Linked DNA regions of Macaca mulatta. The protein of the gene in region 2 binds, or shares a complex with, the protein of the main gene of each other region. Links are inferred from orthologs where the notes say so. Each region holds a gene or a part of one and is shown on either strand. Other genes may lie near its edges.

What was found.
Region 1: the proteins of MPP1 (region 2) and GYPC are in contact, whole or in part, in an NMR structure (PDB 2EJY), measured with the Homo sapiens proteins. The link is inferred for Macaca mulatta from reciprocal best matches to the Homo sapiens genes MPP1 and GYPC. Residues at the interface, in NP_002427.1 of Homo sapiens: Pro81, Met82, Gly83, Ile84, Leu86, Lys87, Leu88, Leu100, Val130, Gln134; in NP_002092.1 of Homo sapiens: Arg123, Lys124, Glu125, Tyr126, Ile128.

What each region holds. Positions count from the first base shown.
Region 1 is NC_133417.1:10,656,679-10,661,184, reverse strand, and holds the start of GYPC (glycophorin-C), read left to right. Parts: upstream 1-1,572; 5' UTR 1,573-1,674; coding exon 1,675-1,723; intron 1,724-4,506. UniProt on the Homo sapiens protein: This protein is a minor sialoglycoprotein in human erythrocyte membranes. The blood group Gerbich antigens and receptors for Plasmodium falciparum merozoites are most likely located within the extracellular domain.
Region 2 is NC_133426.1:161,083,896-161,087,876, reverse strand, and holds part of MPP1 (55 kDa erythrocyte membrane protein), read left to right. Parts: intron 1-3,173; coding exon 3,174-3,317; intron 3,318-3,589; coding exon 3,590-3,668; intron 3,669-3,981. UniProt on the Homo sapiens protein: Essential regulator of neutrophil polarity. Regulates neutrophil polarization by regulating AKT1 phosphorylation through a mechanism that is independent of PIK3CG activity.

The sequences.
Region 1 (4,506 bases), on a different chromosome or scaffold from region 2:
TTGGACTAAAGATCTGTCAGCATCGGGGCTTCTTCATGATCTAACTAAAGTGAATCATAAGTGCTTTCCCACTGCGTCAAGAAGGCCTGGAGTTTGTGCAGCCCAGGTAGAGGTGAGCAAAGCCTCTGTGTTGCACATCTCCAGGGCTCAGCCTCTCATTGTATTCAATGAGATGACAGCCCCAAAGGCACCGCCCATACATTGTACAGACAACTGGCCTGGCTCTCTGGATTGTGCAGGACAGGCCTTAATGGCAGAAGGTAGGGGAGACGAGGGCGTCACGAAAGTGCTTGGGGAACTATAAAGTACATATGTTTATTGCGGCACTATTCACAATAGCAAAGACTTGGAACCAACCCAAATAACCATCAATGACAGACTGGATTAAGAAAAGGTGGCACATACACATCATGGAATACTATGCAGCCATAAAAAAGGATGAGTTCATGTCCTTTGTAGGGACATGGATGCAGCTGGAAACCATCATTCTCAGCAAACTAACACAAGAACAGAAAACCAAACACCGCATGTTCTCACTCACAGGTGGCAACTGAACAATGAGATCACTTGAACACAAGAAGCGGAACATCACACACCTGGGCCTGTGGTGGGGTGGCGGGAGGGGGAGGGATAGCATTAGGAGATATACCTAATGTAAACGACGAGTTAATGGGTGCAGCACACCAACATGGCACATGTATGTATATGTAACAAACCTGCACGTTGTGCACATGTACCCTAGAACTTAAAGTACAATTAAAAAAAAAAAAAAAGAAAAGCAGCACAGGACGGTTCAGATATCACACAGGAGAAGCACAGGGTGTTCCCCTGGGCGGGGATTTAAAACAAGGGCCTCAAGTTCCCTGCCCTTGTCTCTGGGCAGAAGGGGCAGATAATGCTATGATACACTTTTTTGTAGGTGGTGCCAGTTGACTGCATTTAACCAACCAAGATATGTAACGAAATCCTTGTGGAGGTTTTCATGGCAAAAGTAGAGCGAATTCACAAACTGCACTGTGTCTGGCAGCTTCAGACAAAAGCAATGGGAACAAATCACAACCCTTGTCCAGCAATTCTTCCTGTTTTGGAACGATCTTTGCTCAACACCCCATCCATGGGTACAGGGCCCCCAAAGGCCAAGAAGACAGGGACTCTCTCCAGGGACAAATGCCCCGTGGCTAGCTCAGAGAGGCCGCCCAGCTATCCAGCGGCCGCGCAGCCAGCCAAGATTTCAACACAGGTCTGCCCTATTTGGTCACCATTCCCGACAGTGCTGGGCCAGGCCAGCAAGTCACATTGGCAAGTTCTCCCTGCACTCCAGGGGGAATTCTCAACCACAACCTCTGTATCCGGTAGTGGCAGATGGAAAGAGAAACGGTTAGAAAAGCGTGGTTCTTGCGCAGGAAAGTTGGAGCAAAGAAGAGTTCAGAAGTGGGCGGGTGTGTGTTCAAAAAAAAAAAAAAAAAAAAAAGGGTGGAAACCCTACCAGCCAAGTCTGCAGAAAAAAAATGAAGTCTGCCTATCTCCGGGCCAGAGCCCCTCCCCTCGGCCCGCGCGGGAGGAGTGTGACCCAGGTGCCGCTTCCTCTCGCCGTTGAGGGTCAGTAGCCCGGGAGCGCGACCCTCCCCCGGCCCGGCCCGGTCCGGCCCTTCCCCGCGGTCTCTGCCCGGGCTGATGCCCAGGACGAGCAGCCCCAACGGCACGGCGCGGCCACTCAGCCTCGGTGAGTACCCGCCGTGGGGAGGGGTCCTGGGGACCCACTGGAGGCCGCGGCCCGCAGCAGCCAGGGGCCGAGCCGCGGTCACGGACTCCCGGGTGTCCTGGTCCTTGCCCGGCCTCCAGGCGGAGGAGGCGCCCGCTGGGCTCAGATCCCCGACTCCAGCCCCGGTTCCCCGGCGCCTGGGCTGCGCGGAGTCCCTGTCCCGCGTCCCGGACGGCGACGCGCAGCCTCCACGCGCCCCGAGCTGGAGAGGCCGCCAGCCCGCCCGCCCAGGGCGTGTCGCCCGCTCTCTGTTTCTTTGTGCGGGGCATGGGAAATGTGTGGGGCCAGCACTGTCCCCCTAAAGAACAGTTAGGGAAGAGTCCACATCACAAGTTGCGTCTGTGCTGCTCCCTAGCCAGGGGCCGACCGGGCAGGCTCTGGTGAACTCCAGGCAACTCCAGCCTTGCCCAGGGACTTGCTCGCTCCTCTGGGCGCTGCAAAGGCACACAGATGCGGGGAAATCCTGCGGCCTGGATCCTTTGGGGATTTGTAATTCCTCGCTGTTTGTTTTCTTTCTCTTTTAAACCATTACGTTTTCTTGCTGACAGGAAATCATATGCGATGAAAGTCTTTGTAGGTGGTTGGAAACATTGCTGGGCCTCTCTCTGCGCTCTTCCTCTGCTGTTACTTTTGCAATAATAACTACCATTTTATTGTACCTAAAAACCTAATGCATATCCCTCTTATCCCCCACCCTGCCTGGGTCTTATTCTTAGAGTCTGTCAGAGAGGAGATAGCCTGAGCCTATCATGTGATAATGTTACCTTATTGATATGATGATGATATGGGTATTGGAGACACCAACTCAAAGTCTTTGAAATCCAGGGGGTTGTGAGGCCTCAACCCCACCCTGCCCGAGCCTGGAGCTTGGCATGGAGGAGCGTAGCTTCGGTCTACGTGTGTACACGGCACTCCGTGTGCCCGTGGTTGTGCTTGGGTCGGCCTGGGAGTGCGCGGGCATAAATGGTACTTGAGAGCGAGGCCCCTCAGTCTGCACTGGGATCACTGCACTGCCTCTAAACAAGGCAGCCTCTCTTAGCTCCAGTTTCCTCATCTGCAAAGTAGGAATAATAACAGGAGATTCCTCATCCAGCAGTAAGAAGTCCGTATCAATGTCCCGGCACGGAGACTGACACATCATAAGTGCTGGATCCGTGCTGGGCATGTTTATATCATTGTCCATGAGACTGTGGTTCCCGGAGTTTACGTGTGTGTGTAACTTGAGCACGTGTTTGTGTGTGTGTATATGGCGGGTCCTGGGTTAAAGGGACAGAAGCCACTGTCATTATTCCAATTCAGGCACTGAGGAGGTGAGGCTGATAGGCATTCCCATGTCTGAAGAGGATGGGCTTGCCTGACCTCCGCCCCCGTGCCCAGCCCAGCCCAGCCGCCCAAGCAGTTCTCCAGGACTCAGATTTCAGACCTTCAACACTTGCCTTGGGAGACAAACAGCTGCGCAGCCCTTGCTTGCAAGCCATTCCGCTTTAGACTTCGGACTGATTTATGGCAGGATCCCTGCTGTGCGAGAACGGCAGGGGGTGGGGGGGGCGGAAGGGGGGCGGCTATTTCTTGCTGCTAACTCAGGCAGGATGTGTCTATATCCTGTCTCAGTTTATGTAGCCGCTGCTCATCAGAGCCAGAGGTTAGAGTGGAGAGGACCCACTTCCGCCAGGCAGGCCTGCTTTGCTCAGCTCAGCTGGGCTAGGTCCCAATGCCACATTTACTGCGCGGGAGTCATGCACAGCGATCCGTGGCCTTGCCCTTGGATGGAAGAGGTCAAGGCTCAGTGAGAAGATGGTCAGGTTTGGCAGCTTTATATAGAATACACCGCCTCTGGCAGAAGCAGAGGATTGCATTAAGTGCCAAATGAAATTCCACCTCAGCCATTGCTCAGTTCCTCCAGATGTCACGGGCACTGGGAGTCGCAGGGCGCTGGTGGTCAGCAGCTGGACCTTTCCAAGGGTGCCAGTGGTTGGGCAAGTATTTCTGGGGACTTGCAGAGCTCCCTGGGGAGCAAAGGGGTGGGAAGTACAAGGCATTCTGCGCTTGTGGTGGGAACAAGTGAACTCGTCTGCAATGAGTAGGAAGAGGTCCCCTCCCTCCACAGGGGTGAGAGGTTGGGCCAAGCCAAGTCAGTTTGCCTCTTCGGGTGGCAGACCTGTATATACATCTATGCCTCAAGTGCCTGTGAGGCCACAGCCAAAACATCTTCCAGTAACTGAGCACACACAGTGGGCCAACAGCACGCTCTAAACACAAAACCAAACAGTAAAGTTAACAGTGAATGAAGGGTTAAAAATAGGAAAAAGACACCTTTCTCCCTACCTCAATGGCAATTACTGTATTTATTGAGGATAATCCTTCTAGAAGTAAATTTGCTGATACAAATATTTCTTATTTGACATAATAAAAACTTATTTTATATATTTAATGTCATCTTGCTTTTTCCCTCAGAATATCTCTGAAAGGTTATACCTTGTTTTTTTCTTTAACCAGTTCCTCTGCTGATGGGCATTTAGGCTGTATGCAGACTTCATTTAATTTTTTAAACCACATACAGTACTCCTGTGACAATGCGTAAGGAGGATTTTACGTGCTTGTGTCTGTAAACTGTTGGGATAAATTCTCCCACCTCAGCATTTGATTTCTGGGACAAAGTATATATCCATTTAAAATATTAGTCGATCTTAAGAAACTACCCTCCTAAAGTTCACACTGGTTTCTCATGCTCACAAATAGCCTGT
Region 2 (3,981 bases):
GTTTATGTATTTTCATTTATTTTATTTTATTTATTTTATTTTTTGAGACAGGGTCTCACTCTGTCACCCGGGCTAGAGTGCAGTGGCATAATCACAGCTCACTGCAGCCTTGACCTCCTGGGCTCAAGCAATCCTTCCGCCTCAGCTTCCCGAGTAGCTAGGATTACAGGTGCACACCACCATGCCCAGCTAATTTTTTTATTTTTTGTAGAGACAAGGTTTTACTATGTTGCCTAGGCTTGTCTCAAACTCCTGGGCTCAAGTGATCCTCCCACCTCAGCCTCCCAAAGTGCTGGGATTACAGGTGTGAGCCACTGCGCCTGGCCAGTTTATGAATTTTTAAGCAAATATGAATATAATCATTCTTTCACTCTTTATGATGAAGCTAATATACCCTTCATCACATTATTATTATTTTTTGCTTAACAATAAATCTTCAAGATTACCCTCAGAACCTCCTTTTCATACCTGCATGGTGTATCCCAGGTATCATAAGTCAATTTTTTAATATAAGCCTATCTTAGACAATTTTGTTATAACAGCAATGCCATATGACTTGGTGTCATGTGAGTTTTTTTGAAGTTCTAGTTGCTAGACAAGGCAGTTTCTAGTTGCTAGACAAGGCAGTTTCTCTTTCTCAGTACTTCCCTCATTGAGGTCACCTGATAGTGAACATTACTTCAAACCTCACCATGTTGTGTTTTTTTTGTTTGTTTGTTTTTGTTTTTGTTTTTCTGAGACAGGGTCTTCCTCTGTTGCCCAGGTTGGAGTGTAGTGGTATGATCATGGCTCACTGCTGCCTTCAACTCCTGACCTCCTGCGTCAGCCTCCCGAGTAGCTGGGACCACAGGCTTGCACCACTACACTCGGCTAATTTTAAAATTTCTTATAGAGGCAGGAGTTTCACCATGTTGCCCAGGCTGGTCTCAAACTCCTGGGCTTAAGCGATCTCCCCACCTTGGCCTCCCAAAGTGCTGGGATTACAGGTGTTAACCACTGCACCTGGCCCAAACCTCACTATCTTATCAAAGTTTCTACTTAGAAATCAGAGTCCCTTAGAAATGATGTAAGCCTCTACTCCAGACTTCCTTGTCTCTCGTCTTCTAGTCCTTTTCTAGGCTTTGGGCAGGCCAGTGGACACTGCTCAGGTATACATGTATTCCCTTCTAGGGACCCTTCTCCTTCCCCACACAGTGAATGGCACACTCCTCACAGCTATCCTCTATTTTCAGCAGATCCTTCCATAAGCCCACTTCAGGCATATACCTCCTCCTCCTCCTCCTCCTCCTCCTCCTCCTCCTCCTCCAGGTGGCTATATTATTTTTGATTTAATATTTTATCTGGGGTGGGAAGGGAGCGTTTTCAGAGGTTTCCATAGTTTTTCCCCATTGTGATTGCTCTTACCCCAGGCCCTGGGCTTCTTAGACATTAACAGATCAGTAAGATGAGGAAAGACCAGCAAAGCAAACTGAGAAGGAGTGTTTTAAGGAGAAGAGAGCAATCACCTGTGAGTGATCCACAGGTGATCCACCATGTTGTGGTGTAGCAGTAGCCATTCATTCCCATTGATGTGGGATATCCACTGGATATGCCACAGTTTATCCATTCTACTGTTGATGGACTTTTGGGGTATTTTCAGGTTTGGGCTTTTAAGAATAGTGTTGTTCTGGAAAGGGCACACCACTACTTTCTTGGAATTCCTGCCAAAAATGCAAAATCCCAATCTAATCTTTAAAAAAACATCAGATGATAAACCCAAACTGAGAGACATCTACAAAATAACAGGTGTGTACTCTGCAAGAATGTCAAGGTCATGAAAGAAGAAATTTTCCAAATTAAGGAAGAGTAAGGAAATGTGAAAAATGCATGATTGGATTCTGGTCCTAGATTGGATTCTGGGACCAAAAAGTCCTAGATTGGATTCTGTACTGGGGAAGAAATATATAGCTATAAAGGACATTCTTGAAAGGGTTGGCAAAATTTAAATATGAACTGAGGACCAGATGACAATATTGTGTCAATGTTAAATTTTCAGTTTTGAAAATGCTCATTCCTAACATGTAGAGACACTTATGGGTAAAGGAAAATAAAGTCTTCAGATTAAGCTCAAATGGTTCAAAATTGAATTTTATAACATTTTTAAAGGGTACTGGCTGCTCTTGGAATGGCGCCAAAAAGATGAAAGAATTTTATAGTAACACCCATATAGCCACACCTCCTAGATTCTACAATTAACATGTTGCTATGTTTGCTTTATCACATTTCTATCCAAAAACTGCCCATCTGTCAACCTTTTTTTCCTGGTATTTCAAATAATTTTCAGATATCAGAGCACTTTACCCCTGAAAGCTTCAGCATGCACGTCATTGGCTTGAGTTCACTGCAGAGTCACCTGACTATAAATGTGTGGCTCTGTTTTTGCACTTTCTGTTCTGTTACATTGGTCTTTTATCTTTCTTCTTACCACAGTGCCTTAAATCACTTTAGATTTATAATGAAGAGGTCTTGCTGCCTGGTAGAGTAACTCATTTAGCTTTGCTGTCTTTGAGATTAGGGGAAGGAGTCACAGTGGCAATGTATTATTGTCATCACCGTGGTTTGGGGCCCAGTCCTAAGCACCTAATTCTACAGGTAGAAGTTCTTTGTAGCCTAAGAGGTGATTCATGAGAAACTGATGTTAACCTGAATTACCTTTGCTGCTGTGTGACTGAGAGCATCAGGTTGTTCAAGGAAATACAGAGGAGAAGGGGACATGCCAGAAACCCTTGGAGCCTGAGGTGCTGCAGGATTCAGAATCTTTCTAATTTTGTTATATATTATGTAATCTCCCAAGTAGGATCCAGGGGAGCACCATGTAAATCAAGGCACATTAATATTTCTGCAGCAACCTAGATAAGCATGTCTGTTTTACTTATTTTTAGAGACAGGGTCTCGCTCTGTTGCCCTGGGACTATAGCTGGGACTATAGGTGCATACTACCACACTTGGCTAACATGTCTATTAAGTTGGAGAAATAAAGCTTACAAACAGCTTCATGTTAATTCAAATAAGAATGAGGCCAAACTTATGAAATAAGTTTTCAGAGCCTCTTGAATGTTAGAATTGCAGATTGTGGACTGACTGTGGGCCTTGCTCCTGATTTCATACATTGCTTTGTTGTTTTGACTTGACAGGCTGTATCGCATCCATTGAATACTGTGACCGAGGACATGTACACCAACGGGTCTCCTGCCCCAGGTAGCCCTGCCCAAGTCAAGGGACAGGAGGTGCGGAAAGTGCGACTCATACAGATTGAGAAGGTCACAGAGGAGCCCATGGTAATCCCTCGTCCTATTGTTGCCCACCAGTGACTCTTCTGGCCCAGTGAAGGAGGCTGCTCATGGAGTTAGGGAATTGGCCAACCCCAATATTGTCTTTTCATCCTCATCTCAAATTCCTCCTCAAAGCAGGCTTCATGCCTGTTCTAGCTGAGGACTATCCTGGGTATAAATAGAAAATGCTTTTCCTGCGAAATTGCCATAAGTTGTTTCTAAAGTAACCTCAGAAAGACCTTAAAATAAAGCTTATCATGCCATTATCTTTATTTCAGGGAATCACTCTGAAGCTGAATGAAAAACAGTCCTGTACAGTGGCCAGAATTCTTCACGGTGGCATGATCCATAGACAAGGTGCTCTGTGGGAGCTCTGGGTGGGGTTTTATTCAGGGATTAATAATTTACTCCCTGTTCAGTGGTGTGGGGCATGAAGCTTACAATCCTCCAAACTGGTAGCATTTTTGTGAGTGTGCCAAGAGACTTTTTGTGGCTTAATAACTGGCTCTGTAGAATCACTACATGATAAGATCTCTATGTGAATTGCCCAGTGTGACCATCTCTCTATCTGACCCTTCTTTCACACCTATTTATACCAATATTTTTCTAGTAGTTAATATTTGAACAATTGCCACATGCCACCCATTGCATTAGACTTGGAAAGGACAGC